Anolis sagrei: one gene and its partners. The protein of the gene in region 2 interacts with the protein of the main gene of each other region in a pairwise test. Links are inferred from orthologs where the notes say so. Each region holds a gene or a part of one and is shown on either strand. Other genes may lie near its edges. The genes, in order: RAD23B, NGLY1, TRAFD1 and UBXN2B.

What was found.
Region 1: the proteins of NGLY1 (region 2) and RAD23B interact in binary tests that used the Homo sapiens proteins (3 or more experiments, as listed by UniProt). The two-hybrid records come from large-scale screens. The link is inferred for Anolis sagrei from reciprocal best matches to the Homo sapiens genes NGLY1 and RAD23B.
Region 3: the proteins of NGLY1 (region 2) and TRAFD1 interact in binary tests that used the Homo sapiens proteins (3 or more experiments, as listed by UniProt). The two-hybrid records come from large-scale screens. The link is inferred for Anolis sagrei from reciprocal best matches to the Homo sapiens genes NGLY1 and TRAFD1.
Region 4: the proteins of NGLY1 (region 2) and UBXN2B interact in binary tests that used the Homo sapiens proteins (3 or more experiments, as listed by UniProt). The two-hybrid records come from large-scale screens. The link is inferred for Anolis sagrei from reciprocal best matches to the Homo sapiens genes NGLY1 and UBXN2B.

What each region holds. Positions count from the first base shown.
Region 1 is NC_090022.1:200,263,919-200,271,163, forward strand, and holds the start of RAD23B (UV excision repair protein RAD23 homolog B), read left to right. Parts: upstream 1-4,243; 5' UTR 4,244-4,418; coding exon 4,419-4,484; intron 4,485-7,245. UniProt on the Homo sapiens protein: Multiubiquitin chain receptor involved in modulation of proteasomal degradation. Binds to polyubiquitin chains.
Region 2 is NC_090026.1:84,840,134-84,847,735, forward strand, and holds the start of NGLY1 (peptide-N(4)-(N-acetyl-beta-glucosaminyl)asparagine amidase), read left to right. Parts: upstream 1-4,598; coding exon 4,599-4,726; exon of another isoform or gene 4,727-4,891; intron 4,892-7,602. UniProt on the Homo sapiens protein: Specifically deglycosylates the denatured form of N-linked glycoproteins in the cytoplasm and assists their proteasome-mediated degradation. Cleaves the beta-aspartyl-glucosamine (GlcNAc) of the glycan and the amide side chain of Asn, converting Asn to Asp.
Region 3 is NC_090034.1:30,491,203-30,499,221, forward strand, and holds the start of TRAFD1 (TRAF-type zinc finger domain-containing protein 1), read right to left. Parts: upstream 3,003-8,019; 5' UTR 2,896-3,002; intron 2,888-2,895; exon of another isoform or gene 2,807-2,887; intron 2,348-2,806; 5' UTR 2,289-2,347; intron 1-2,288. UniProt on the Homo sapiens protein: Negative feedback regulator that controls excessive innate immune responses. Regulates both Toll-like receptor 4 (TLR4) and DDX58/RIG1-like helicases (RLH) pathways.
Region 4 is NC_090024.1:48,752,536-48,759,725, reverse strand, and holds the start of UBXN2B (UBX domain-containing protein 2B), read left to right. Parts: upstream 1-4,182; 5' UTR 4,183-4,399; coding exon 4,400-4,573; intron 4,574-7,190. UniProt on the Homo sapiens protein: Adapter protein required for Golgi and endoplasmic reticulum biogenesis. Involved in Golgi and endoplasmic reticulum maintenance during interphase and in their reassembly at the end of mitosis.

The DNA of each region.
Region 1 (7,245 bases), on a different chromosome or scaffold from region 2:
AACCAGCCAGAACCTGACTAGCGACTGTCAGCTCCTCCAAGACTATGGAATGACCTGCTGGAAGAGATTAATCAGCAAAATCAGTTGTAGGAATTCAAGATACAACTGAAGACCAATCTCATCCAGCAGGCCTATCTGGTCAATTTCAAACTATGAATTTTAAATTTACATTCTATGACTATTGTATTTTGATCTTTGTTCCATGAATCTTAGTGTGTGTGTTTTACATAAAAATGTTTTAATATATGCATTTTATTGAATGTTTTTATGATGATGTGTTTAACTATGTTGTGCCCTGCCCCCTGTTGTGAGGAGAGGCTGGTAACAAATCATGATCACCATGTGTTTCACTATTTGCTAACTGTTCAACCTGTGTGTTCACGAAATGACTATTTAAAGAATTAGCATACATCTACAGCACTCTAGCCATACGAGAAAATTGATAATGTACTTTTTGGGGAAAATGAACATAAAACAAAAGTATATTATATGTTCCTTTTCTCCATGAAGAATTATGTATAACTTGAGTGTTTGTAACACTATATAATTTTGTGCATGAAATCAAATTTGTATAAACTAAGCCATCAGAAAGCAAAGGTATCTTTATTTCAGACAGCAGAATTCTGAATAACAGATGCTCACTCAGTATCATAATAACTGTTAACCCATGCTGAAAAACATGAGCTTGTTGCCAGTTATCTTCCAAGTCCAATTAAGAGTTTTATTGGCCATGGCTGACTAGTGATCAGCAAGTCTGCTGGACTACAATTTCCATCATTGCTGACCACTTGCCAGAATGGCTAGGACTAGCAGAAGTTAATATACAGAATTATCTGGAGGACAAATGGTTGTCTCTATTCATTTCAGCCGTTAAAATTTTTGAATATTTCTCAACCTTTAAAGTCTTAATTGGTTAGAGCAGTGTCGACACTATGGAATTGCAGATTAGGATGGAGTGTTTAGAATTCAAAATTAGAGAACTCTAGGGCCTCACTAAAATATAAACTACACAATTCCATAGGATGCAAGTATGGCAGTTAAAGTGGAATCGTAACACTATGATTTCATAGTGTGAAAGAGACCCAGATGCTGAGTGGCCCTCCACCCACATTATTACCAATCTCTTTTGCAGGACAGCAGTACTAATCAAAGTGTTGGTCCCTGCACAGCTGGTAGTGCTTTGCAAATTTCCGGGAAAGAAAGAAGCACTTCTGATCAGTGAGGAATTTGCTTCCTGTTTGTTGCTTTGCTATTGCACTGCATTTTGAATTAAACTTTCAACTGTGTCAATTCCTTTTTGAACATCTTTGACATTCCAATTCCAGTAAAAGTACAAACGAAACTCAATAAATATAGTGAAAGCTATCACAAAAGAACATGACTTTTGTGTCTAACAGGAGTTAATTCTTAGAGATCAACAAGAATGGCTCACAAATAATGTATACAGGACTGCTGTCACAAAAATCCGTTGCAGACTGTAATCCTATAGAGCAGAAAAAATAAGAATGGATATGTGTGTTTGTGTACATGTTTGTGTACAGGCAGTCCCTGAGTTACAAACATTCAACTTACAAATGACTCATAGTTAAGAATGGGGCTGAGACAACAGGAAGTGAGAGAAATTCATCCCTGAAAGAGTTTTCATGGGGAAAAGTGGTCTCCACTGAAGCTTCATCACCAATCCTTTTTTCCACAACAAGCCAATTTTTTTCAAAACCCAATAATCACAGGGACAGAAAGTGAGGTGAAATCTTATGAACAGGGGCACTGACAGCAAAACAAACACAAGAGTGCTAACACTTCCCTATGCTATCCAAAGCCTATATATGCATGTGTGTGTCTGGAGTTACCCTTAAATAATGTACCTGTACAACTTACCAAAAAATCAACTTAAGAAGAAACCTACAGAACCTATCTTGTTCATAACTTGAAGACTGCCTGTACATATGCACACACAGGCAGGCACTGCCACGCACACATGTAAGCAATGTAAGCACACATTCACTAAGACAGAATAGTACTTTTAGGCAGGTCCTGATGTGTTGTTGTTTTTTTTTTTTTGAAAGGCATTATTAAAGATTGAAGCCCCTTAATGACTGTTGGCCTACCATGTATAAGCTGTATGCATGCTGCATGCACATATATGCATATTTATATTTAAAACACGACTAAAGACCCATCTCTTTCAACAGGCCTACTCAGCAAATTTTGAACCATGAATTTTATATTTACATTCTATAACTATAGCATTTTCATCTTTATACCATACGTTTTAATACATGTATTTTATAGTAATGTGTTAAAGTATGTATTTTATGTTAATGCTTTTTACTGTGTTGTGCCTCACGTGAAGTTGTGAGAGTTGTGTAATAAAATTTACTATTATTACCGCACATATATATGTGACTCCTCACATGAGTATATATACACATATTTGTGTACCTATCTGTGTGTACTGTCTATATACTCTGCTCTCACCACATACATAAACCGACTGTGGCCCCTTCTACACTGCCATATAATCCAGATCATCAACTAGATCAGGGTCCTCAAACTTTTAAACAGGGCCAGGTCACAGTCCCTCAAACTGTTGGAGGGCCGGATTATAATTTGGAAAAAAAATGAATGAATTGCTATGCACACTGCACATATCTTATTTGTGGTGCAAAAAACCCCACACTTAAAAACAATACAATAATTAAAATGGAGAACAATTTTAACAAATATAAATGTATTAGTATTTCAATGGGAAGTGTGGCCTTGCTTTTGGCTGATGACATAGAATTGTTATTGTTGTTGTTGTGTGCTTTAAAGTCATTTCAGACTTAGGTTGACTCTGAGCGAGGGCCGGGTAAATGACCTTGGAGGGCCGTATTCAGCCCTCAAGCCTTAGCTTGAGGACCCCTGAACTAGATAATCCATATTATCTGCTTTGAACTGGATTATATGAGACCACAGTGATAGTATGATAGCTGGGACCCAGTGCTGCTAGCGCTACGCTGTTTTCGCAACAGTGGTTGTGAATGAGGGAAGGAAACACGTGAATGACGTGGACGAGAGAGCAGACAGAGTGAGAGACGCAGGTGCAACAGAGTCGGGAAGATAGTTCGTTGTTGCATTCGAAGGAAGGATAAAAAGGAGAGACATACAAGGAGTGGTGAGGAATTAATGAAATCCAGTTTATTGAGCAGTTTCGCACAACTGAGCAGGAAGTGAGTTCTTTGGAGGCACGTTTAATTATTGGGCAACGCTGTTCAGTTTGTGGACAGGCTGGATGTGGGGTAGCCATGAAGCTGGTGAAGACAGGTGCACTGTCTTGCACATATATTCCCTTCCCTGATTCTGACCCGCGTTGCGCTACCAACATACCCGAACCTGCGTTGCAGAAACAGTGTCGTGCTAGCAGCACTGGGTCCCAGCTATCATACTATCACCAAGGCCCCTTCTACACTGTCATATAATCCAGATTATTAAATCAGATGATTCACATCATCGGCTATGAACTGGATTATATGAGTACACACTGCCTCATAATATGGATTTTATAGCAGTGTAGAAGGGGCCTGTGTGTACTCTTTCTCTTTCCTCGCCTCAGGAGTTTAAAGTGTGGTAAAAGAGAAATCCAGGGAAATTGCACTTTCAGCTGCCTCAAAGGATTATTCTGTTTTGGGCCCCTTCCACAGCTGTATAAAATCCACATTGAACTGGATTATATGGCAGTGTGGACTCAGATAACCCAGTTCAAAGCAGATATTGTGGGATTTTTGTCTTGATATTCTGGGTTATATGGCTGTGTGGAAAGGCCCTCAGATAACCCGGTTATGTAGACTCAGATAGCGCAGTTCAAGGCAGATATATTGGCTGCGTTTATATTCTGTGTCATATGGCTGTGTAGAAGGGCCCTCAGTCAATACGTTCTTGAGTTCTCCCTTCTTCCTCACCTCTGCGCCTACTTCCTTCCTCAAATCCTGCTCTCCTTCCTGGTTTTATTCTCTGACGCTTCCCTCATCCTTTTCTTCCGCGGGGAAGAAGAGTCCCGCTCGCACATGCGCAGTTCTTCCTTTTTCCCGCTGGCGGACTTTCTCGGAGGGGCCGTCACGAGACTGCAGCGTCACGCGCGCTGTCGTCATCATGGCGGCGGCGGCGCCAACCGCGGCGGCCCCCTCCCTGCCCTGAGCGTGAGAATTCCGGAGTGCGCCTGCGCCGGTGCGCGCGCATGGGGACGTCTGGCGCGTCGTGGCTCCGCCCACTGCCCCCCTTCCCTCCCTCCCTTTTTCCTTTCTCCCAACGTCGCTGGAGCTTGCCTGCCGTCCTCCGTGAGGGAAGGAAAGAAGGAAGGAAAGGAAGGAAGAAAGGAGGAGGGTGCGGGTTGGCTCCGCCGGGGGAGGAGGCCCCACTGCCAAGCAGCCGCCGCCGCCATGCAAGTCACGCTGAAGACGCTGCAGCAGCAGACCTTCAAGATAGACATCGACCCTGAGGAGACGGTGCGGCCTGAGAGGAAGAGGAAAGGGATGGGCGGCGGGGAAGAGGAGGGCTGCTAGGCCTCAAATGGCGGCGGGGCCTGGAAGGAGAGCCTCCTCGAGGCCTAGCTCGCAAAGAGGCCTGTAGAAGTTTTTTAGCGGGGGGAGGGGAAGGGGGGGGTGAGGAGGGAAAAGTTGGCGCGCCATTGGTCGCTTATGGAAACGGCTCCATGCTATAGGCCAGGCCTGCGCGCGGGCCTCGAGACCCTTCTTCGCGAAGAGGGGAAACCTCTCCCCCCCCTCCTTTTTCCGCCATGACGGCTCTTGCTGCTTCGTTGGGTGGTGACAAGGGTATTGAGTGTCGTCTCCGTCGCGCAAAGGGTGGGCGGGCCTGCTTATGAAGGGGAAAGGGTGCCATGACTGTGCATTATCGCTTCGCGCGAGGAAGGGGTGTGTGTGTGTGTCACTCAGGCTGTCTCTGTGTGTGTCCGTCCGTGGCTCCGTGTGCGCATGCGCCACTATTGGGATCCATGCGCGGGAGAAGTGAGCCAGGAGGTTTTAGAATCATAATATTTAGGCCCCTTCCACACAGCTGAGTACAACCCCAGATCTGCTCTAAACTGGGAACTCTTCCACACAGCCCTATATCCCAGAATACCAAGGGAGAAAATCCCACATTATCTGAGTGTGGACACAGATAACCCAGTTCAAAGCAGATACTGTGGGATTGTATGCCTTTATATTCTGAGATGTAGGGCTGTGTGGAAGGGCCCTGGGATATATGGCAATGTGGATTCCTGGCTATTCCAGACAGGCCCTATATCCCGGGATCGGAATCCAGGTTTTCTGCTTTAAACTGGATTATATGAGTCCCCACTGCCAGATAATCTGGGATAAACACAAATCATTGGATCAGATCCTGGGATATATGGCGTGTCTTGAAGGGCCCTCAGATAACCAAGTTCAAAACAGATATTGTGGGTTATTGTGTCTTGATGTTCTAGGGGCCCATCCACACAACCCTATATCCCAGAATATCAAGCAGAAAACCCCACAAAATCTGCTTTGAACTGAGTTATCTGAGTCTACACTCAGATAATATGGGGTTTTCTGCCTTGATATTCTGGGATATAAGGCTGTGTGAAAGGGCCCTGAGATAACCTAGTTCAAAGCAGATATTGTGGGATTTTCTGCCTTGATATTCTAGGATATAGGGCTATGTGGAAGGCCCCCCAGAATATCTGCTTTGAACTGGGTTATCTAAGTCCACACTGCCATATATTTCAGTTCAAAGCAGAAAATGTGGGATTTTATTCAGTTGTGTGGAAGGGGCTGTGGAAGAGACCACAGGGGCCATCCAACCCAAACCCCTTATATTTCAGGATCTGATCCCAGGTTTTCTGCTTTAAACTGAATTACATGAGTTCGTACTGCCAGATAATCTGGCATAAACAGAAAACCTGGGATCAGATCCTGGGATATAGGGCCTTTCTGGAAGGGCCCTCAGACCCCTTCCACACAGCTGAATAAAATCCCACATTATCTGCTTTGGACTGGAATATATGGCAACGTGGACTCCAATGGTCATGGAATGGAGACAGCTTTGGTCACCTGGGTGGATGACCTTCACATGGAGCTTGACAAGGAGTGTGTACCTGTTGGTTCTCTTGAATCTTTCAGTGACTTTCGATACCATCGACCGTGGTATCCTTCTGGGCCAGCTTTCTGGAATAGGACTTGGTGGCACTGCATTGCAGTGGCTCCACTCGTTCCTGGAGGACCAGACCCAGATGGTGGTGCTGGGGGACACCTGCTCGGACCCCTGGCCATTGACTTGTGGAGTCGTGCAAGGTTCTATTCTATCCCCCATCGACATGAAACCGCTGAGTGAGGTCTTTGGAGTTTAGGAGTTTGGTGTCTTCTGTATGCAGATGACACACAAACTATTATTCGTTTCCACCAAAATCCAAGGAAGCTCCCCGAAGTTCTGGACTAGTGCCTGGCAGTTGTGATGGACTGGATGAGGGTTAACAAACTGAAGCTAAATCCAGACAAGACAGAGGTCTTCCTGGTCAGTCGTGAGGTTGCACCCTGTGCTCGACGGGGTGACACTCCTCCTGATTACACAGGTCTGCAGTTTGGGGGTCTTCCTGGACTCAGTGCTGATCCTGGAAACTCGCAGAGGAGGAAAGTTCCTAACATATGACACATGCTACCCAAAAAGGTTGTACTAAGCTTATACTGTCTTTGTAATTCGGGTAGCTATCAGAAAAGTGGTCTAAACCCCTTAAGACTATATCCAGTCTGATCTTGAAGGAGAGTCAGACCTGGTTAGTGCTTGGATGGGAAACCAACGATAAATGCCAGGTACTGCAAGTTATATTTCAGAGGAAGGATTTAGCAAAACACTGCTGAGTTTTCTTTTTAAAGAGACTTTGTTTTGGGACTCGACACAAACCTGCTGAAATGTCCTAAACACACCAGATCCCATCTGATGGACTCTAAGCAGGGTCAGCCCTAGTTAGTACTTGAATGAAAGACCACCAATGAAAATTAAATGTCATGGGCAATATTTCATAGTAAAGAACTAGCAAAACTATCCCTGAGTATTCCTCGCCTAAGAGTAACCTATGAAATTAATTGGATTTCTATAAAGCAACAGGCTCATTGAAGGCACATGTGCACACGCCTATCAGTGATAGAATTTGCACTGTCAAAATATTGGAATGATTTTCGACACATAGTAATGTAGATGTCTGTATATACATGTGCTTTCCTCTGTCTG
Region 2 (7,602 bases):
ATTCACAACTTCAAATTGACCGGGTAGGCCTGCCCAAAGAGAAGGGTCTTCAGTTGTGTCTTAAATTCTGACAGCTGATATTAAATACAAGACTTACTGATCAAATTTGCACAAAATTATGCTGCCAGTTCCAGTAAAAGTGAAAAGGCTTTCAATGGGCTATACAACCAGGTTACATAAATATTTGTTTGGAATTAACTTCTGGAATTCAGAGGGATTTATTCCTTGACAACTTTTCTCTCAAAATTGTTTCCTACACGTTGTGTATTGCTGCTCCCATCAACCTCAGTCATTATTTTCAGTGGCTAAAGGTACTGCATTGAGACAAACAGCTGAACGTCAAATGTGCACAGGAATGCAGCCTTTATAGTTATTGCTTATTTTAGCTGAGTAAGAGTTCTGACAAGAAAGACTTTTAAAATGACCTCAATCTGTGTTATCTAACTGTGCAGAAAATGTAATGGTAATTTCAGAGGGGAGGAAAAAAATGTCTGTTCGGAAATCGTATACAATTCTGTAACAAAATTATTAGGTGGTGCGAGCCATACTGGGTGACACCATCAGAGGGGATGTCACCAAAATAACTGTGTACACATGCTGTGTTTTTAATAAAAATATGTCTATACTTAGATATAACCACAAAACAATTTCTTGTAATTTCAGTTGACATGTGTAGCTGGGGTTTGGTTCCAAAACCCTCCATGGATACCAAAATTTGTGGATGCTCTAAGATCCATTATATACAACAGCATAGTAAAAAGATGTCATTCATGTAAAATGGGTGGAAATGGCTCCACTGTATCAATAGAGCTACAACTCTTCTAATTTACCTTTCTAATGTGTGCGTGTGTTAGTCAGAGCTATCATTACTACCATATGAAAATGATGTTTGGAATCATGTGGTTTGGTCATCATGGACTTATAAACCAACTCGGACATTGCGGTCAGCAGAGGAAACCCTAATCTTGGTTCCACCCCCACCCCAAGTACGACTGATAGGAATGAGAGAGAGAGCCTTCTCCGTGATTGCGCCCCACCTCTGGAATGCCCTCCCTAAAGAGATAAAAATTGCCCCCTCACTGCATTCCTTCAAAACATAATTAAAAACTCACCTTTGCTCTTTAGCATATGGAGATGAGGAGGCCTAGATGACCATAGACACCTAACATACTGATGGCTGGAATTTGTTTTTGCACTTTGGCTTGTTGGCTCTGTTACAGCACAGCAATATATTTAATTTTAATGTAATTGCAATTGAAACTTGGTTTTTAAAATATAAATTAAGGTTCATATTTTTATGCTGAACATAATTTAAATTTAATTTTAGGTTGTTATAATTTGGGTTTACATGTGGGTTTAATTGGATGTATGTCGGTTCATTTCGCTATAGTAAAGGTAAAGGTTTCCCCTTGACATTAAGTCTAGTCGTGTCCGACTTTGGGGGGGGGGGGGTTGCTCATCTCCATTTCTAAGCCGAAGAGCCGGTGTTGTCCGTTGACGCCTCCAAGATCATGGGGCCAACATGACTGTATGGAGTCCCGTTACCTTCCTGCTGGGGTCGTACCTATTGATCTACCCACATTAGCATGTTTTCAAACTGCTGGGTTGGCAGAAGATGGGACTAACAGCAGAAGCTCACCATGCTTCCCGGATTTGAACCGCCAACCTTTCGGTCAGCAAGTTCAGCATCTCAGAGGTTTAACCTGCTGTGCCACCAGGGGCTCCATTGTTGTGGTGTATGTTGGTTTATTTTGGGTTTTGGGTGGTTTAGTATTGTTTTTGTATTTTATATATTTGCATTTATTGTTGTTTCAGGCATTGAATGTTTGCCTTCTCGTTGTTGGAATCTGCCTTGAGTCCCCTCGGAGAGATAGGGCAGAATACAAATAAAGTAATTATTATTATTAATTATATGGCAGTGCCGATCTAGCCTCAGTTAACAGTAACTCAAGCTTCCTGAATTCTCCAGCAACCGGCAAGGAAATTTAAGAAATCATAATTTAAATAAAAATGCGGTTACCATTTTTTTAATGTCAGCAGTGACTTGAGAAATGGCAAGTTGTTTCTGGTGTGAGAGAATAGGCCGTCTGCAAGGACGTTGCCCAGGGGATGCCCAGATGTTTTGATGTTTTACCATGCTTGTGGGAGGCTTCTCTCATGTTCCCACATGGTGTGTCGGAGCTGACAGAGGAAACTCATCCGCACTCTCCCCAGATTCGAACCTGCGACCTGTCAGTCTTCAGTCCTGCCGACACAAGGGTTTAACCCATTGTGCTGCTGGGGAACTCCATATTGTTAAAACTGTGCTACATTATTTGCTTTTAATTATTTTTTTCCAATATTATTGTCAAGGCAATACAGTTTATGGCATGATATAGTATCAGATATACTATTAGTCTGGCCTATTTTGAATAGTAACAAAGCAAACAGAAACTAAATGTATCTGTCATGGATGCTGATTAACTGAAGGCCCTTCCAGACAGGCCCTGGTGATAGTATGATAGCTGTGTCCGGGAGCTCTGAGCATTATGCAAATTCCGCAATGGTGGTTGTGAATAAGGGAAGGGGAGAATATTCTTCATAGTTGCATTTGGTGAAAAGATAGAAAGGAGGGGAGGGTTAGGATAAGGTTTAGAGCAGTGGTTCTCAACCTGGGGGTCCCTAGATGTTTTTGGCCTACAACTCCCAGAAATCCCAGCCAGTTTACCAGCTGTTAGGATTTCTGGGAGCTGAAGGCCAAAAACATCTGGGGACCCCAGATTGAGAACCACTGGTTTAGAGTAAGGGTTGGGGTAGGGTAAGGGTTAGGCTTAGGGTAAGGTTTAGGGTTTGGGTTAGGATTCGGGTTAGGCTTAGGGTAAGGGTTCAGGAAAGGACTAGCGTTTTACCATTAAAGAACTCTTACATTCCTTCTATAATATTTGTGTTCCATTCTGCGTTGCACAAACAGTGCTCCCGCAGGAGCGAAGCGGAAACAGTGTAACACTTAGAGCAGCGTTTCTCAACCTGGGGGTCGGGACCCGTGGGGGGGTCACGAGGGGGCGTCAGAGGAGTCACCAAAGACCACCAGAAAACACAGTATTTTCTGTTAGTATGCGGGTTCTGTGTGCCATGTTTGGCCCAATTCTATCGTTGATGGAGTTCAGAATACTTTGATTTTAGGTGAACTATAAATCTCAGTAACTACAACACCCAAATGACAAAATAAATTCCAGTATTCAAATTTAGGCGTATCAGGTATTTGTGCCCAGTTTGGTCCAGTGAATGAAAATACATCCTGCATATCAGATATTTACATTATGATTCATAACAATAGCAAAATTACAGTTATGAAGTAGCAACGGAAGTAATTTTATGGTTGGGGATCACCACAACATGAGGAACTGTATTACGGGGTTGTGGCATTCGGAAGGTTCAGAACCACTGGCTTAGAGCTTCCAGACTCAGCTTTCATACTATTACCCAGGATCTGATCGCAGCTTTTCTGTAATTTGAGACAAGGTTTGTGTACATTGCGTCATCACAAGACAAAGGTGTCACTGACCCAGCCACACAATTTTGAATTTTTGAAGCACAGACTCAGGGCCCTTGCAGATAGACACTATATCCCAGAATGTGACCCAGGTTTTCTGGTGGGGATGAGGGACAGGGCCTTCTCGGTGGTGGCCCCTTGGCTCTGGAAGTCTCTCCCACTGGAGATTAGATCTGCCCCTTCTCTCCTGACTTTTAGAAAGCTGGTGAAATCTTGGCTTTGGAATATGGCATTTGATGAGTGAGTCAATAACTCTTGACCACACTGACGGATGGTGCTGAACTGTGATTTCATTCTGACGACCTGGCTTTATGTAATTATATTATTGTATTTTATGGATTAGTGTATTATGAGGTTGTGATGTTTTTATACTATTGTCTATGAATCTTTTGTTGTGAACAGGTCTGAGTCCCTCTTCGGAGGTCGAGAAGACCGGGTTATAAAAGCTCTAAATAAATAAATAAATAAAATTATGTTTATCCCAGCTTATCTTGCAGTGGGGACTGATATAATCCAATTTAAAGCAGGAAACCTGGGATCAGATCCTGGCATATAGTGTCTGTCTGCAAGGGCCCTGAGTCTGTGCTCCAAAAATTCAAAATTGTGTGGCTGAGACAGTGACACCTGTGTCTTCTGATGCCTCAATGTACACAAGCCTTGTCTAAAATTACAACCATAAGGAATATATGAAACATAAATGATTAGATTTAGGTCCCATCTTCATATCTTGTTATATATATGCAAATATTCCGAAATCCGAAAGACTCCCGCATCCCAAGCGTTCCTGGTCCCAACCATTTCGGATAAGAGGCGCCCCAACCTGTACAAAGGCCAAAGGTGGATGTCTTCCTGCTGCGCATGCGCGCCACCCACTCCCAACATGGAGGCCTCCTGTCGCACGCGCTGCCCCGCCCTCCTCCCCTGAGTTCCTGAATGGGAGGGGGAGCTCCGGCTTGGAGTCGGCTGGCCTGAGTCAGCTTTCTCAGGAATTAAGTGCGGGCGGGCGCAGAACGAAATAGAACTTTCTCCCTTACTGGTAGGCAAGCACAAGCACCGCTTCGGAAGGATGGCGGCCGCGTTGGGACCTTCCGCGCCGCTGCCTTCGCGAGCCGTGAGCGAGCTCTGCCAGAATCCCACAGAAACGTTTTTAGAGGCCTCCCGCTTGCTGCTTACCTATGCGGATAATATCATCAGGTGAGAGGGGCGGGCGGGCCCGGCAAACAACAGGAGCGAGGGCTGGAGGAGTCTTTGCGCCCGTCTCTTTGCGCGGAGGCTCGACTCAGCGGCTGTTAAACCTTACGGATCACGCTCGCCGATGTTTTTGTTTTCTGTGGCGCGGGCGGGATCATTCCGTTGTATGCCATCCTATAGTAAATAGAAGCAATTACCTGCTTATGGTCAGATGCAATCAGATCTCTCCCTCTGGATGGCCTATTAAGCAGGCATGCTATTTAAGGAGCATAAACAACACGTGGATATTTCAAGAATAAGAGTATAAATAGCAAGATTGTGCTTACAGCACACCTATCTTAATGCATTAATCCATTCATTGCTTAATAACATTAATAGGAAGATGGATTTGTTTGTGAAGCAACCGCACTAATGTGAGAGGTCAAGCCATCTAAAGAATATATGCAGGGATAGTTATAATGGCCATGCAGCAAAATACAATAAAATCCACAAAAGAGGGATCTGTTCATGGGCCAACCAAAATGCACAAAAATCCATCATGCAAAGGAATCTAGAATGTCAGTTTGATGAATTTTTATTCTGAATATGGCAGTGCATATACACCACTCAGAAAGCACAGAGATGGTGAAACAATGAGAAAATGTCAGAACCTTGGGCTTCTCTAAAATGCATGTATTTTGCTGTTAACTTACTTAGGAGATCCCTCGTTGTCCGAGTAGGATAATCCTCCAGGGTGGGTCCATAGGTGACTATGGAGCCCTGTTTTTGATCTGCTTCATCTCCCGCAGCGAGGGCATTGGTTTCCAGGTGGAAGGTGGTCCCAGTTGGGGTTGGCTTGACGCGCCTTCCTCTTGGCACGTTTTTCGCTTTCTCCCTCGATTCATGCCTCTTCAAATTCTGCAGCACTGCTGGTCACAGCTGACCTCCTGACAGCCCAGGGCTTCCCAGTTCTCAGTGTCTATGCCAGAGTTTTTAAGGTTGGCTTTGTGCCCATCTTTAAATCTCTTTTCATTCTGTTTTCCATTCTCGAATTCAGAGTAGAGCAACTGCTTTGGAAGACGGTGGTCGGGCATCCGGTCCAGCAGAGTTGATGGCGGAGGACCATTGCTTCAGTGCTGGTGGTCTTTTGTTTCTTCCAGCATGCTGCCATTTGTCCGCTTGTCTTCCCAAGAGATTTGTAGAATTTTCCAGAGGCAGCGCTGATGGAATCGTTCTAAGAGTTGCATGTGACGTCTGTAGACAGTCCACGTTTCGCAGGCATATAGCAGGGTTCGGAGGACAATAGCTTTATAAACAAGCACCTTGGTATTTAACAGTGCTGTTAAATAACATACACTGTAATGAGTTTGGAGTCACAGGAGGATGCTTTAACCATCTTTCCAGTTCCTCAGAAAATGGAGTAAATATCAGAATAAATCCAAAAGGAATAGAGCTACAAAAAGCCTCTTTGTATCCCCTTCGGGAGAAATAAAGAGGGGTAAAAATAAATATGATAATAATAATAATATATTATCTATATCTGTATCTACCTATATTATTGTATTATATTAAAATCAAACCATTGGGAAGACACATTCAATGTGCAATGCTATGCCAAAGGATCCAAAACACATTTGGCATGAAATATTGGACTAGACTGGGGCAGTTATCTTTCCCCAAGTGCCCTCAAATGCTATTTCAACAATATATGTATAATTTTATGTATATCCGGTAAATAATGCACTCCAGTCATTCTCTCTCATATATATATATCCCCAGATATAAATGCAATTACTACAAATAATTCTGGGCATATTGAAATGCAGATTTGACATGTACCAAAGGAATAGGAATAATGTGGACTGAAACCCCACCAGTAACTTCCAAACAATTAATAATCTATTAGAAAAGGTTCTAGAACTCAGGTTGCGCTACATTGTAGGCTTATTGCAGTTGGACACCACATTAAATGTCGTGGCTCAAAGCTATGGAATCATAGGAGTTGTAGTTTTGCAAGGGCTTTAGATCTTTCTGTGACAGAGTGCTGCTGTCTCGACAAGCTATAACTCCCATGATTTCATAGCATTTAGCCATGTCAGTTACAGTGGCATCAAACTGCATTAATTCCACATTGGAGACGCACTCTTAGAGGTCCCCTTCCACTCGAACCACTTGCCATACTTGATTTGATAGTTCTACTCAGAGGACATACCCTCCAATATTTCACAAATGTGTGACCAAGCAACATCAGAGTGTGATCAAGGTGGCAGAAATTATTAATGAAGAGGAATACTGTACACAAGGTAGCGGAGGCTGCATCAGTTTGCTTTTGCCTTTTCCTGTGAGGAAGGGCAATATTCTGTTATCTCTGCTGAGATATTACTTTTGCAATCTGAACTCAGCCTGCAACAATCAAAGAGGAAGTGGGAGGAAAGGGAAACTAAAAGCAGCTGGACAATTTGGAATGACTGGCTTAATCTGGACTGTCCCAGCAAATTCGGGATTGTATGGGAGGAGAGCCTCTTCAGAAGATCCTACACTCTGGACAAGTGTGTATATAGAGAGATGGTCCTTTGGGCAATGTGGTCTTGATTGATATTAACAATTAGCACTTTTAATTGCACCTAGAAACATACAAGAAGCTAGTGGAGGTAGTGAAGTACTGGCGGAATAAAATCAAGCACTTCCTGTAGAATCGATGCAGTTTGATAGCACTTTAACTTCCCTGGCTATGAAATTGTGGGATTTGTAGTTTAGTGAGGCACCAGCACTCTTTGGCAGTAAACACTAAAACCTTGTAAAACTGCAACTGCAGAATTCTAAGAAAAATCCAAGAAACATAGAATCCAGTACAGAAATATAAAAGCAAAACCTGGTACTTGAAAACAAGAACATGAACA
Region 3 (8,019 bases), on a different chromosome or scaffold from region 2:
CCTGTATTATTCCCCCCCATCACCAACCTTCCCGACCACATTTTCCACTATCTTGTTATCTTTAGCCCTGTGCACCATTCTCTTACTTTCATGATAATATTTGTATTGGATTTATCCGTTTTTACCCAGGGCCCTTCCAGACAGGCCCTTTATCCCAGGATCTGATCCCAGGTTTTCTGTTTATCCCAGATTATTATCTGGCAGTGCAGACTCATATAATCCAGTTTAAAGCAGAAATTCTGGGATCATGATCCTGGGATATAGGGCCTGTCTGGAAGGGGCCCTGGTCTGTATATATTGTCCATTTGTTTTTGATTGCTTCTATTTTCTCCTGCTTCGTGACACTTGTCATAATTTGGAATTGTACCTGTTCATATAGGTAATTGTTCCAGTTCTCCAATGTCCACTTTTTCTCATCTTTCCACCCCCCACCCCCTCCCCCAATGCCTCAAGCTCTGAGGAATACCTGGAAAAGAATTCCACTGGAGCATTGCAGTATACCAAAATACCTGGGAGTCACTCTGGACCATGCTTTGATTTACAAGAAGCACTGCTTGACTATCAAGCAAAAAGTAGGTGCCAGAAATAATATCATACGAACACTGACTGGCACAACCTAGGGATCACAGTCAGACACAGTGAAGGCATCTGCCCTTGCACTTGGCTACTCTGCTGCTGAGTACACTAGGAATTATACTACTTCGCCGGCATTGCACCATCTGATATCTGCCAGGAAGTAGCAGCCAGTAATGAAAGGACATCTCCAGCCCATCGTTTGGATATCAGCCAGCATGCCAATGTCTTTAATCAAGAAACAGCTTCCTAAGATCTGCAGAGATACTCACAGGACCACCTCAGCAAACAAGAGTCCAAAAGTGGCAGGCTAAAACCCAAAACCTCAATCTGTGGCTGAGATCAGATAAGAAACTCCCTCCTGGGCACACAGAAGACTGGGGGTCCTTCCACACAACCCTATATCCCATAATATCAAGGCAGAAAATCCCACAATATCTGCTTTGAACTGGGTTATCAGAGTCCATACTCAGATAATGTCGGACTTCCTGCCTTGATATTCTGGGATATAGGGCTGTGTGGAAGGGCCTTAGGTGACTTGGAAGTCACTGAACAGGCTGTGATCTGGCTCCACGAGATGCAGAGTCAATCTTATGAAATGGGGCCATAAAGTGGAGTACACAACATGCGAGTGTGGAGAAGAGCAAACAACAGACCAATACAGCCCTTATATCCCAGGATCAATCCCAGGTTTTCTGTTTATTCCAAATTATTATCTGGCAGTGCAGACTCACGTAATTCAGTGTAAATTAAAGCAGAAAACCTGGGATCACATCCTGGGATATAGGGCCTGTCCCTGGAAGGGCCCTGAGCCCCGCCACATGCACAACGGAGGACCTCCTTACAGTGATAGCAGAGGCATCCCAGCTTCAAAGGAAATGTAGTATCATGCCAAGTTTTTTTTAACTTTAATTGCTTTAAAGGTATTTTTATGTTTTTGATGTTATTGCTTGTTGTGTTATTTATTGCTGTTCTCTGTTTAACGTGGCACTGAATGGCTGCCAAAACTGGAAGCTGCTCTGAGTCCCACTCGGGGAGAGATAGAGCAGGGTAGAAATATGGTAAATAAATAAATGATGTGTTGTCGAATGCTTTCAGGGCCAAATTCACTGGGTTGCTGAGTTTTCCGGGCTCTCTGGCCATGTTCCAGAAGCATTCTCTCCTGACCTCAGAGGTTGTGAGGTTTGTTGGAAACATGGCAAGTGGAGTTTATATATCTGTGGAATGTCCAGGGTGGGAGAAAGAACTCTTGTCTGTTGGAGGCAAGTGTGAATGTTGCCATTAGCCACCTTGATTAGCACTGAAGGGCCTTGCAGCTTTGAAGTCTGGCTGCTTCCTGCATGGAACATGGCCATACAGGCTGGAAAACTCACAGCAACCCAAAATAAATTATGTAATATTGAATTTCCAAACTGGAAACCACTCTGCATCCCCTTCTGGATGAGATAGAGCGGGGTAGAAATGCAGTAAATAAATGAATAAATTATATATTATATATTACATCCAGCCAATTCTTTTTTGATGTTGTCAGTTTCCAACGGTAACATCTTTTGTAAGGGTTGTGAGACAGGTCTGGGCCGACTTCAGCCCTCCAGGTGTTTTGGACTACAACTCCCAAAATTCATACCGTCTGTTAGGAATTATGGGAGTTGTAGTCCAAAACCCCTGGAGGGTCAAAGTTCGCCCAGACCTGCAAACCTTTGAGTCCGACTTACCTGAACAGACCCTGCGGATAAGGAGGAAGCCAGGCTGGGTGTGGATGGGCCCACGGCTCCTGGGGAGGAAAGCAGACAAAACCAATGTCACTTTTCCCCCCACAATTAGAATCATTGGAGTGCTAATTGTGCCTGATACCTCCCATTGAAAGGCTTGCCTTCTACCTCCCCTAACGGACATTGGTGCTAAAAGCCACCCTGAGTCCCTTTGTGGGAGAGAGGGCGGGCTAGAAATAAATACTTTATTATTATAATACATTAGAAAATTTTATATTTGTTATAATAAATTATAAAACAGGCCTGGGCCAACTTCAGCTCTCCTTCCAGGTGTTTTGGACTTCAACTCCCACAATTCCTTGCAGCCTACTGGCTGTTAGGAATTGTGGGAGTTGAAGTCCAAAACACGTGGAGGGAGAGCCAAAGTTGGCCCAGGCCTGTGCTAAAACGTGTATTTGTTGACAGCTTTTTATCCTTGTGAACCAGCCAATGGGAGCAGGGCTCTCTTTGGGCTTGCCTACCTCGCAGGGCTGGTTTGGCTCCTCCTCACAGCCCTGCGAGGTAGACCAGCAGGCCCAAGCTAGGCCTGAAGCGCCTTCCCACGCAGTACCTTCTCCTTTCCCCGAGGGGGCGCCTCCCCTCAAGAACGGCCGGGACCGTTGGCGCCCGCCTGGCCCGTCCTCCCGCCCACTGGCCGCTTCAGAGCGGCGCAAGCCAGGCTCCAGCGCCCGGCCCCGCCCCTTGCTTGCTTCCCCGCGCGCCCATTGGCCGCCGCCTCTCCTCAACCGCCGCCCACGCCTCCCCATTGGGCCGTCGCCAGCCCCGCCCTCCGCGCGCCCATTGGCCGCCGCCTCTCCTCAACCGCCGCCCGCGCCTCCCCATTGGGCCGTCTCCAGCTCCGCTCTCCGCCCGCTTCCCCGCGCCCCGCCCTTTTCAAGTGAAAGCCCTCGCTCGAGGAACAACCGGCCTGCCAATCGGCCTCCTTACTGCGCATGCGCGGCCCCGCCAACCGCCTTCCTCGCTTTCCCCTCCCTAGGAACATCTTATCTACTTCCATCGCCCTACTTGAAAAGCGTCTCCTATTAAACAAGAATATAACATTACCCGTTTTTTGTGGTAACTGAGTGGATAGCACAGATGGCTGTGTAATTCTAGATGCCTCTTACATGATTCGACAAAGGAACAGGGATTTAGAATGATTGCAATCATTATTTTGTGCTGATTCATCTCAGCAATTAGTTGGATTGCCCTGATTTGTTTTGTAATGGCTGTTTTTCAAAATGGCCCATTTCAAGATGCTTTATATCCATTTTTGGTCTTACTGGTTAGGATTGAAGTATTTGGGCTGTAATTTGTATGGCATTAATATGTTGGGTCCCGTGAGGGAGAAAAGTGGGATATAAATAAAGAATGTGAATTCTTCATGACATAAAGAATATAGAAATAATGGTGTGATTGTTGCCACTGACCAGCTTGATTACCATTGAGTGGCCTTGCAGTTTCAAAGCTGGACTGTTTCCCGCCAGGAAGAATCCTTGGTTGGTTGACCAGGGACCACTTTGACCAAGGCCCTCATGAGCAGGGACCACTTTGACCAGGGTCCACTTGATGAGAAACCACATTGACCAGGGCCCTCTTCAGCAGGGACCACTTTGAGGAAGGACCGCTTTGACCAGGGACCACTTGATCAGTCGAACTAGACTTTAGGGGGGGTCAACTCCAAGAAGAGATGAGCCTTAGTTTCCCTGCGTGGTCTGCTGTGAATACACACATATGGTAATATCCCCTGTGCGCGTGCAGCACAGCTTCGGAATCTTCTGTTAAATTTGAAAGAAATGGCGGTTGGCCCCGCCCACACTCCCCTCGAGCACATATATAGCCCGTGGGCTGGCTAACCGCCTCAGTTCTCTTCATCCGCGTTAACAGCGAGCTCAAAATCTTCTGTAGAGAACAATTTTGACTAAATCTGTATCTGACGACAAAACTACTTCTAGATTTCAACTTAAATTTCAACTTAAATCAGCGTAGACGCTTTAATTAGAACAGTGTCTCAAACTAAAGGCTTTAAGCATTGCTCCACTTGCCAGGGAAACTTCCCTGATATGACGCACACTCTCTGTGCATTGCATGTTTGGGGGAAGGACATTTGTCGCAAACTTGTGCTATTTGCCAATCCTTTACCCCCCAAACGAGAAAAAATAGAGAAATCCGCCTTAAAGCGGTGTTGTATGAGCGGGCACTCCTCCCTCCAACGCCAAGGGGACAAAATGGCGACCAAAACCCAGCCGAGAAAATAGACTTACCTGCATTGGAGACCGCATCCAAGGCATTGAAGAAGACTAAGAAAACTAAAAATATAGAGAAGGCTAAAGGTTCCATTAAGCAGCCTAAGAGAGCCATACTGATCGAACCGGGGATGAGGCAGAGTCAGCCTCCCCTTGCAACTGAGCCCATTTCCCAGCCGGGATCGGCTGCGACATGGCCGATGCATCCTCAAACAGGCAACAAAGAGAGCTAGGCTGGGAAACCTGGCCTACATATGAAGACTTACTAAGATCAGAAAGAGGAACATTTGAGTTAAGAGAAGAAAAAGAGATTAAAGAAATTTTCACTACCCTATCGTGGTTGAACTATAGACAAATTCTAGATTGCTATAAAATTGATAAAGAATCAAATTTTGGAACTAAAGAGGGATTCTGGGATACCATTATGAGGACAAACAATAAAATAATAACAAAAATTTACAAAAAATTATTAGAATGGACAACGGAAACAGAACAAATAAAAGAATCAATGATTAAATGGGCACAAAACATAGGCCATCAAATTCGTTTAGAACAATGGGAGAAGATTTGGAATCAGAAAATGAAGTACACCTACTCCTATAATTTAAAAGAAAACCAACTTAAGATGATACATAGGTGGTACATTACGCCACAGAAGATTTCAAAGTTTCACAAAAATGCACCTGACAGATGCTGGAAATGTGATCAACATATAGGATCCTTCTACCACATGTGGTGGTGTTGCCCAAAAGCTAAAAAAAATTGGAATACAATCTATATTAACATACAAAGGATACTTGACATAAAAATGAGAAAAGAACCAGAGTTCTTCTTGCTGGGAATGTACGATATAATAGGAGACAAAAATAAAGATATCATTTTCAACTACCTGATCACAGCAGCCAGCATTGTTTATGCCAAGAGATGGAGGCAGAAAGAAATACCACAAATAGAAGAATGGCAATGTAAGATACTAGAAATAATCAATATGGATGAGCTAACGTACTGGCTGACACCGAATGAAGGAAAACCGAAAAAACACACAAACTGGGATTTGGTGAAAAATTATTTTAAGCAACAGAAAATAGAGGTCGTTCCTTGATACCTAATAACATAGAACATAAATAACTGCATCACAGGAAAGCATAATGGACTACTTAAAATGAATGATATTTTTTCGTTTTCAATTTTTTAATATACCATGGTTTTGGATTTTTTTTCTCAATATAAACATAGAAGATCTTCAAAGAACAGATGGAAGTCCATTCTTTTCTCTTTTTTATTTTTTTCTTGACTTTTTCATTTTTATTTTTATTTTTCATTTTTATTTTTCACTTTCCTTCCTTTTTTTTCTTTTTTTTCTTTCCCCCTTCGATATTTTTTTTCCACAACACTCTATGCTTATTATTATTTCCTACTTTCCTATCTCCTCCACAATTATTCCCCCACTTGCCTTGTAACTTCACTAAAATGCAATAAAAATTATTTTAAAAAAAAACAGGCAATGAGGCGGAGCCGGCATCGACGAAAGCACGCCCCTTGCGTGCGCAGGAGAGAGTTGAGGCGGAGCCGGGATCGGCTAGAGCACGCCTCGCGCGTGCGCAAGAAGAGCCTCAAGGGAGTTCGGGCACGCCCCCAATGCCGACGCTCTTGGCGCCAACAGACCCTGCGTCTTGTATAAGCGAGCCCAGGGAGGAGTTAAGACAGGCTCCTCCCACAAGCCGTCCTTCAGGCCGGGAAAGCCCCGTAGCTGTGCCGCGGCACTGTGCGCGTGCTCCATCACGGTCCAGGAAGAGTGGGAGACGTAGGGATCGATCGACGTCTAGCGACTCTTCCTCCTCAACGTGCTCTGCGTCTTCTTGCTCACAAGCGAGACGCAAGAAGGCAAAAGCCTGCAAACGTTGTTCCTTTCCCCATTCTCGCCCATCTCATTGGGAAGATTGGGAGGAGAGGAATGGAATTCCTCCACCTGAGCCGGGTTTCTACCAAGTGACGCCTAGGGGGCGATTCATTTACTATGGTCATTCACCTCAGCCCTCAACGTCACGAGGAGGGGCTTGGCAGCCGTATCACAATGATGCCCCCTTGATGTGCCAAAGGGACCCGGCTTTGATTTCCCCTCCACCACGTGGAAAGGGAGTGGTTTCAAACCCTATGTATCAAGCACCTTCTTATAATGATCGACATTCCATGAGGGCTCACACTGAGACATCAGATGAACTGCCTGTTGTTGATCCAACTCGAGAGGACACTATTGACACTGACTTGTCTGATGACGGGTTGGAAGCATCACATGGGGGGGGGGGGTGACCAAGAAGCCCCTGCTAAACGTTCAGATGACTTTAATAACTTTATGCAGTTACTGGGGAGGATGATAACGGCTTTTGATATTCCCGCCCTAAAACCTCAGTCAACTGTAGATGATCCCATGTTTCCGCCTGATCAACAGGATAACCCATCATCTACTTCCCTCCCTACTTTACCTTATTTGCTTAAATTGACCAAGGTGCCAGATGTGTCCCCTTCAGCTGCTCCGGCCGTTCCAAGGAGAGTTGATTTCATGTATAAGGTTGACCTCTCTGTGGCTAAATGGATTGCTCGCCCCACTACGCCCAACACTGTGGTGGCTGAAGCTGCTAGATCTAAACGGCCAAAGAAGCAGTCCATTACCCCACCAGATAAGGAGGGCAAAAAGATAGACTCCTTTGGGAAGAAAGTTCATTTGGCGGCGGGTCTTTTCAATAGGATGGCACATTATGCCACTTACATGAGTGGATACCAGAGTTTTCTCTGGAATAAGATCACACCATTTATTGAGCTTCTCCCATTAGACGACCGCCAACTCCCTAAGGCGTTTCAGAAGAAAGCCTTGACCCTTGCTAGATTTCAGAAAGATTTCGCAAAACATATGGCGGAGGCTTCTGGTAAACTTTTTGCCTCAGCCACAGCAATACGGCGTCATGCTTGGCTTCGTGCCTCCACGTTGTCAGAGGAGAGCCGCTTGTTGGCGGAGGATCTTCCTATGAACGAGGAAGGTCTCTTCGATCCGACAACCGATGACAAGATTAAGCATTCGAGAGAAGTACTACATGCAGCTAAATACAACTACCCTTGGCAATCGGGTGCTCAGCAGAGGCCACGTTGGCAGCAACCCCCGCCTACGTATCGTAAGAGTTTCTTTAATGGATATAATTCTGCTCAGGGGAACCGTGGGGGTCCCTCAAGGTATCAAAATAATCGTAGGCAAGGCTACAATGCAAGGCCTAGGTATCAACCTTACCAAAGGAAGGTTAAGAACAACGGGAATAATAGACATTGTCTTTGATGTTCCCTCTGCGAACGTGATTCAAGGACCACAAGATTTCAGTAATGATTTGTTGAGCGCCGTTTCGCCCCAGTTACCGTTATTTTTGAATAGGCTTAAACTTTACATACATGTTTGGTCCTCA
Region 4 (7,190 bases), on a different chromosome or scaffold from region 2:
GCACCACCCCCCAGAGCCTTTACCTTTATCTGTGTGTCTGTGTTTCATTGTTCTGAGGCATCGAATGTTTGCCTTGTGTCTCTGTATATGCGGAATATAGATAAGGTGTTGTTATTGTTATTATCTGTGAGCAATCAAATCCACAAATGGCAAAACTGCAAATGTTGAAGGACAACTGTAGTCTTTTTTTTTTTTGCCTCCAATCATCATCATCATCATTTATTTCTTTTCCGCCTCTCCTTGTTGCTCAAGGCAGGTTATAAAACAGCTAAAAACACATAATCATCATAAACATTATATATACATATATTAAAACGTATTTCTACAAAATGCGTATAACAAATTTAGATGTCAAAAATAGCAGGCTACCAGCTTTGAATAACAACTTTACTATTGAACTGCAATTTAGTGTACCATGAATAAGGTTTGTAAAACAGCTGTTGTGATTTTCAATACATTACAGAAAAAAAGGAAAAAGCAAAATTAATATATTTAGTGAGTATTAAGTGTTACTTCACCACCACCTAGTGGTGAAGAATGTCTCTCCAAAGGCTTGTTTTTAACAAAGTCTTCTAAATACATTTTATGTGCATCCTCTAAAAAGGAGAAAAGCCTTTTCTCTTTTCAATAACAATAAATTTTGGCATATAGGGAGTAAATTAATTGTTATATTTCAAAAACTGAAATTGAAGCCAAACAAGACAGAGGTACTTCTGGTCAGTTGAATGGCCAAACAGGGTATAGGGGTCCAACCTGTGCTGGACAGGATTACACTCCCCCTGAAGACACAGGTTCTCAGCTTGGGAGTACTCCTGGATTCATCACTGAGCCTGGAACCTCAGGTCTTGACGGTGGCCAGGGGAGCTTTTGCGATATTAAAACTTGTGCGCCAGCTGCGCCTGTCCCTTGAGAAGCCAGACTAACAAGAGTTGTCCACACTCTTGTTACATCTCAATTAGATTACTGCAACGCACTCTACAAGGGGTTGCCTTTGAAGACTGTTCAGAAGCTTCAAGTAGCCCAATGCGCAGCAGCCAGACTGCTCATCGGAGTGGCATGTAGGGTACGTACAACTCCTATGCTGCGTCAACTCTTCTTGCTGCCAATTTGTTACTGAACACAATTCAAAATGCTAGATTTTAAATGGTTCTGGCCCAGCTCACCTGCCCGAATTCATCCCCCCTATAAACCATCCTGGGTGCTAAGATCTTTTTGGGGGTGGGCCTGTTCTCAGTCTTACCTTCTTCACTGGGGCAGCTGATGGGGGCAAGGGACCGGGCCTTCTCAGTGGTGGCCCCTTGGTTGTGAAACTCCCCAGTGAAATTAGATCAGCCCCCTCCCTCCTATCCTTTAGAAAACAAGTTAAAACCTGGCTATGGAACCAAGCATTTGGAGAGTAACACAGGGCTATGTGATTGGAACGGCTTCTGGATTATGGTTTTTAGTCTATGTGTAATCTTTTAACAGCTTATTTGTATATTTATATGTTAGCGTTTTATTATTTTCATGCTTTAACGCACAAGGTGTATTGTATTTTGTTTGTCTTATGTTAATGTGGATTTGAATTATTGCCAATTTGGAAGCCACTTCAGGGTTGAGATAGAGCGGGGGGAAATACAGTAAATAAATAAATTTATTTTATTTATTTAAAACATTTATATTCTGCCCTTCTCATCCCGAAGCGGACTCAGGGCAGAGCACAGTATATATAGGCAAACATTCAATGCCAAGGACATGAATTCATTATATGCATACATAAACATTAAAAACATTTTATCAATATTAAAATACATTAATTAAATACAAAATAATATTAAAGTCAATATTAAAATACACTGTTTAAAAGTCTTGATAATCTGTGTCTAATCTGCCCTGAGTCGCCCAAAAGGCTGAGAAGGGCGATATACAAATATAGTAATAAATAAATAAATGGCCTGAAAAGGTTTCCTATCACTGTTTTATTGCATTGTCCCAAAAGCTTGGTCCCACAGCCAAGTTTTTACCATCCTTCTGAAGGACAGGAGGGAGGGGGCCTATTTTATCTCACCACTCGGGCCGGGGGGGGGGGGGCAATCACCAAGAAGGCCCTCTCTCTTGTCCCCACCAATCACGTTTGTGACAATGGCAGGATGGAGGATCTCTGTGATGGTTCATAGGAGGAGATGCATTCGGACAGGTAAATTGGGCTGGGGCCATTTAGAGCTTTATAGGCCAAGGCCCACACTTGGAATTGTGCCCAGTAGCAAACTGGCAGCCAGTAGAGCTGGGGCAACATGGGAGTTGTATGCTCCTTGTATGCAGCCCCAGTTATTGACTTGGCTGCCTCTCGTTGGACTATTTGAAGTTTCTGAGCAGTCTTCAAATGTAAGCCGCCCCGAGTCCCCTTGGAGAGATGGTGGTGAGATATAAATAAAGTTTTTTATTTATTATTATTATTGAAAGGCAACCCCACATAGAGTGCGTTGCAGTATTCTATCTTGGATGTAGCAAGAGTGTGGACCACCGTGGCCAAGTCTGGCTTCCCAAGGTAAATAAATAAATAGTCCAAGAAAGATTAGGAAGTATTTTATTTTATTTATTTATTTATTTAGTACATTTCTATACTGCCCCTCTCAGCCTTCTGGCGACTTGAGGCGGTTTACAAGGCAAGAATTCAATGCCGCCAAGGACACAATTACAACATACAATATAAAATACATCAGCAACAATAAAACCAAACATTATAATGACACATACTTCAATCGATAATCATTAAAACAATGTCCATATAGTTATTCCATTATTATATCCTTTACTCTGTATTTTCAAATGCCCGCTCAAATAGCCATGTCTTAAGATTCTTCCGGAATGATAGGAGCGAGGAAGCAGATCTAATCTCCCTAGGAAGGGCGTTCCATAGCCAAGGGGCCACCACTGAGAAGGCCTGTCTCTCGTTCCTGCCAACCGTACTTGTGATGATGGTGGGACCGAGAGCAGGGCCTCTCCAGACAATCTTAAAGTCCTTGCAGGTTCATAAGGGGAGATTCGTTCGGTACATCCTGAAGTTAAGAGCTGTTTGGCAGTGGAATGTGCTGCCTTATAGGGTGACAGAGTCCAATTTTCTGGAGATTTTTAAGCAGAGGCTGGATGGCCATTTGTTAGTACTGCGTTGACTGTATCTTTCTACTCTTTGATTCTAGTGGCTAACATGTTTAATGAATGTAAGCTTTTGTGGACTCTCGGTTAACCGGAACTCAAGCAACCAGCAAAAAATTCAAATAAATAATACTTTAAATAAAATTAAAGGACATGTATTTATTGTTAAATTGTATTATATTATATTATTTCTGGAATTTATATGCAGGTTTTTTTTTTCCGGATGGACCCAAAGCAGCTAACAAAAACAACATAAACAATGTAACATAACCATTCATTAAATCAAGCATAAACCCATTATATTAAATTAGTCTTTAGTTTTCATTATTTGCTGTTGCTGTATTTCAGTATGAATATCAAGTCAATACAGAGTTTAGATATGGCATAGTAGTAGTTACGTCCATTTTTAATAATAACTCTCAGGCAACCAGAAACTAGATTTATCCAGCATGTACCAATTCCCATGGGTGCCGGTTAACTTTGGCTCCATCGACACGGCCAAATAATGCAGTTTCAGAATCCAAATTAACTATATTCTGGATTTTATCAGTCTACATTGTCATAAAATCCAGTTCAATGCAGTTAATCTGCATTCTGGAATTGTTTTACATGACAGATCCAGCCTGAGAGTCAATTATATACGAATCAGAAAGGGTCTATCTGCACAGTGTGATGAATGCAGTTTGGCACTCCTTTAACTGCCACGGCTCAATGCTATGGAATCATGGGAGTTGTAGTTTTACAAGGTGTTTTGATTTCTCTGCCAAGTTCACACCGATATGCTTGGGACCAGAAGTTACTGGGAGCCCCATCTACACTGCCATATAATGCAGTTTCAAACTGTATTATATAGTAGTAGATGGGGCCCCAAACACTTTCTGGCCCCCTCAAAATTTCGGTGTGAGGGCTGCTCAACCTGTGACGGCCCTGAACTGAAAGGATAACACACATTGGGCCCGCCTCCCTTCGGAGTCCTGTCAACCCAGAGTGACGGCCGGGCCAGCCAATGGGAACGGCGCACGCGCAAACAGGTGCGAGTGGGCGGGGCGGAGGGAGGGCCCGAGAAGACAGGCAAGAAACTCGAGCGAGGAGGCTTTGGGGACCAGCGGAACCGACGTGGGCCCTGCACCTGCGAGCCGGTCGCCATAGCAACCCTCGCTGCCGGAAGAACTCCTCAGCGAGCGAGCGGGCGCGCGCCTGCCCAACCGCCCTCCCGCGTGCTCCTCTCTCTGGATTTGGCAGTTGGCACTCGCCCAGCTCGAAGATGGCGGACGATGGGACACTCGCCGAGCGGCCTCAGGAGGAAGACGAGGAGGAGGAGGAGAAGGAGAAGGAAAAAAGGGAACCGGAGGCGGCTGCAGCAGCGGGTACCAGCGGAGGGAGGCGGGAGAAAGGGCCCCGAGGAAGCGGCCGCCCGCCCACCGTCCGGGATCTGCAGGTAGGGAAGGCAGTGTGTGTGCGGCCCAAGGGCCTCGCCCCCTCTCGCCTCCTTCCTCCTCCTGAATTACAGAAGAAACCCGAGCCCTGATGCCTTGGGGTGGTTCGGAAGAGTGGGCCAAGCCCATGACTCCCTTCCTCTTTGGCTCAGACAGATTTAGGGGTCTTTTCTCCGCCCAAATGGGAAGCAAACGTGCCCCTGACGATGACGACACATTTTGTCACGTCAGTCTTGGAAGGAATGCGTTCCCAGTGCAGGGAAGCCATGGCTATACGGAGAGTTATTTTTTTAAATGCAGATTGAGCATCCCTCATCAGAAATGCATGGAAGCAGGGCCCTTCCACTCAGCCATATAACCCAGAATATCAAGGCAGAAAATCTCACAATACCTGCTTTGAACTGGGATATCTGAGTCCACACTACCATATATTCCAATTCAAAGCAGATAATTTGGGATTTTAGGGTTGTCATCTTGTCTTCGGTGTCAGTTGGGAGCCCCTCCCCCCAACACCAACTGCTGCTCTGAGACTAGCCTAAAGAGAGGGGTCCAAACAGATATTGTATTTATTTTATTTATTGTACTGTATTTTACTTGTAAGCCGCTCTGACCTTCGGGGTGAGAAGGGCGGCATATAAATGTCATAAATAAATAAATAAATAAAGCAGATAATTGGCTGCCAGTCAGCTTCCGAGCACAATTCAAAGTGCTGGTCTTAACCTATAAAGCCCTAAACGACTCCGGCCCAATTTATCTGTCCGAACGTATCCTCACCTACGAACCATCAAGATTGCTAAGATCGTCTGGAGGGACCCTGCTCTCGATCCCACCGCCTCACAGGCGTGGCTGGTGGGGACGAGAGACAGGGCCTTCTCGGTGGTGGCCCCTCGACTCTGGAACTCCCTTCCACTGGAGATCAGAACTGCCCCTTCTATCTTAACATTCAGGAAACAGGTGAAAACTTAGCTTTGGTGATTGGCATTCAACAAATGAGCCATGATCCTGTGATATGGATGGATGACGACGAATAATGATTTTTGATGACGACTGACCACTGTAATTATGATTATGATTGTATTTTGCTATTTTAATGTTTTAGTGTGATTTAGAATATGATGTTTTAATGACTGTCTGTAATATTGATGTTGGAAACCGGCCTGAGTCCCTCGAACGGAGGTGAGAAGACCGGTATATAAAACTACTAAATAAATAAATAAATAAATAAATAAATAATTTGGGATTTTACTCAGCTGTGTGGAAGGGGCCATGATCTCGGATTTTTCCTCTTTCAGTTCGGAATACTTCTTTATACATAATGAAAGGGCTTCAACACCAAACCCGTTTGTGGAGTTTATTTCTAAAAGATAAAATGTACACTTTTTACAGGAATTTTTAAAAACGTCTGACATATTCTTACGCTATAGCAAACATTTTTTCCAAACTCTGTACCTAAATGATTTAATGCATTTTGATAACTTTTATATGTGTAATATGTATAACACCATAGTCTACTCCAAGCCATCAATGTGCTGCCACCTCATTTTTCTTTTCTGTTTTTTGTGAGGGTACCTTTTGGAAACATACTCCACGTTTATCCAGTCAGTTTCAACCTATGAATGTAAACGTAGTTGCTGTGAGTTTTCCGGGCTGCCAGGTTCCAGAAGCACAACCCAGAAAACTCACAGCAACCCAGTGATTCTGGCCATGAAAGCCTTTGACAGCACAATGTAAACTTGCCTTTTATTGGTATGGATCAGGCCTGGGCAAACTTCAGCCCTCCGGGTGTTTTGGACTTCAAATCCCACAATTCCTAACAGCATACCTGCTGTGGGAGTTGAGTCCAAAACACCTGGGGGGCCAAAGTTTGCCCTGGCCTGGTATGGATTATTTTAATGTGTTTTAATCATAGTTCTGTGTCTTTTAATATATGTGCTTTCATGGTCTTATGCTGTTATCTATGTATTTTTATTGTGTTGTACCCTGCCTCCAGCTATGAAGAGAGGCGAGAAAGAAATACAGTTTATTTTTATTATGTTTGTTTCATATACGCATCCTTTGAAGATAATTTCATATGCAGTATTTGGTACTATTCCATTATCTGGGTGGAAGCCACTAGGGGGCACTAAAGAGAGATGGATGGTCCGTTTTATGGGAATGTTGTGGGGGTAGAGGATGAAGGAATAAAATCATTTCCCCCTATTTTCCTGTTATTCACCCCCCCACCACCACCCATGTCCCCGTCGTGGAAGAAACTCTCATTTATGATATGAGAAGTGGAAATATTTATGTATTTATTTACCATATTTATCCCACCTTCTCGAGGGGATTCAAGATGGCTTTACACGTAGGCAACTATTCAATAAGCAGCAAAAATGGGGGGAATGGTTTTCATCAACTCCCTCACTGTAAAATGGACCATCCTTCTCTTTGTAGCATCTCCTAGTGACCTCTGCCTGGATAATGGAACAGTATCCAATATTTTAATAATTTTGTGCATGTAATAAAGTGTATGTGGAATCATCAGGGGAAAAGTTGTCACTATCTCAGCCACTATCTCAGTGGATAGTTTGAGGTTTTGGAATATTTGGGGGTTTTTAGAATTCAGGATAAGAGCTGCTC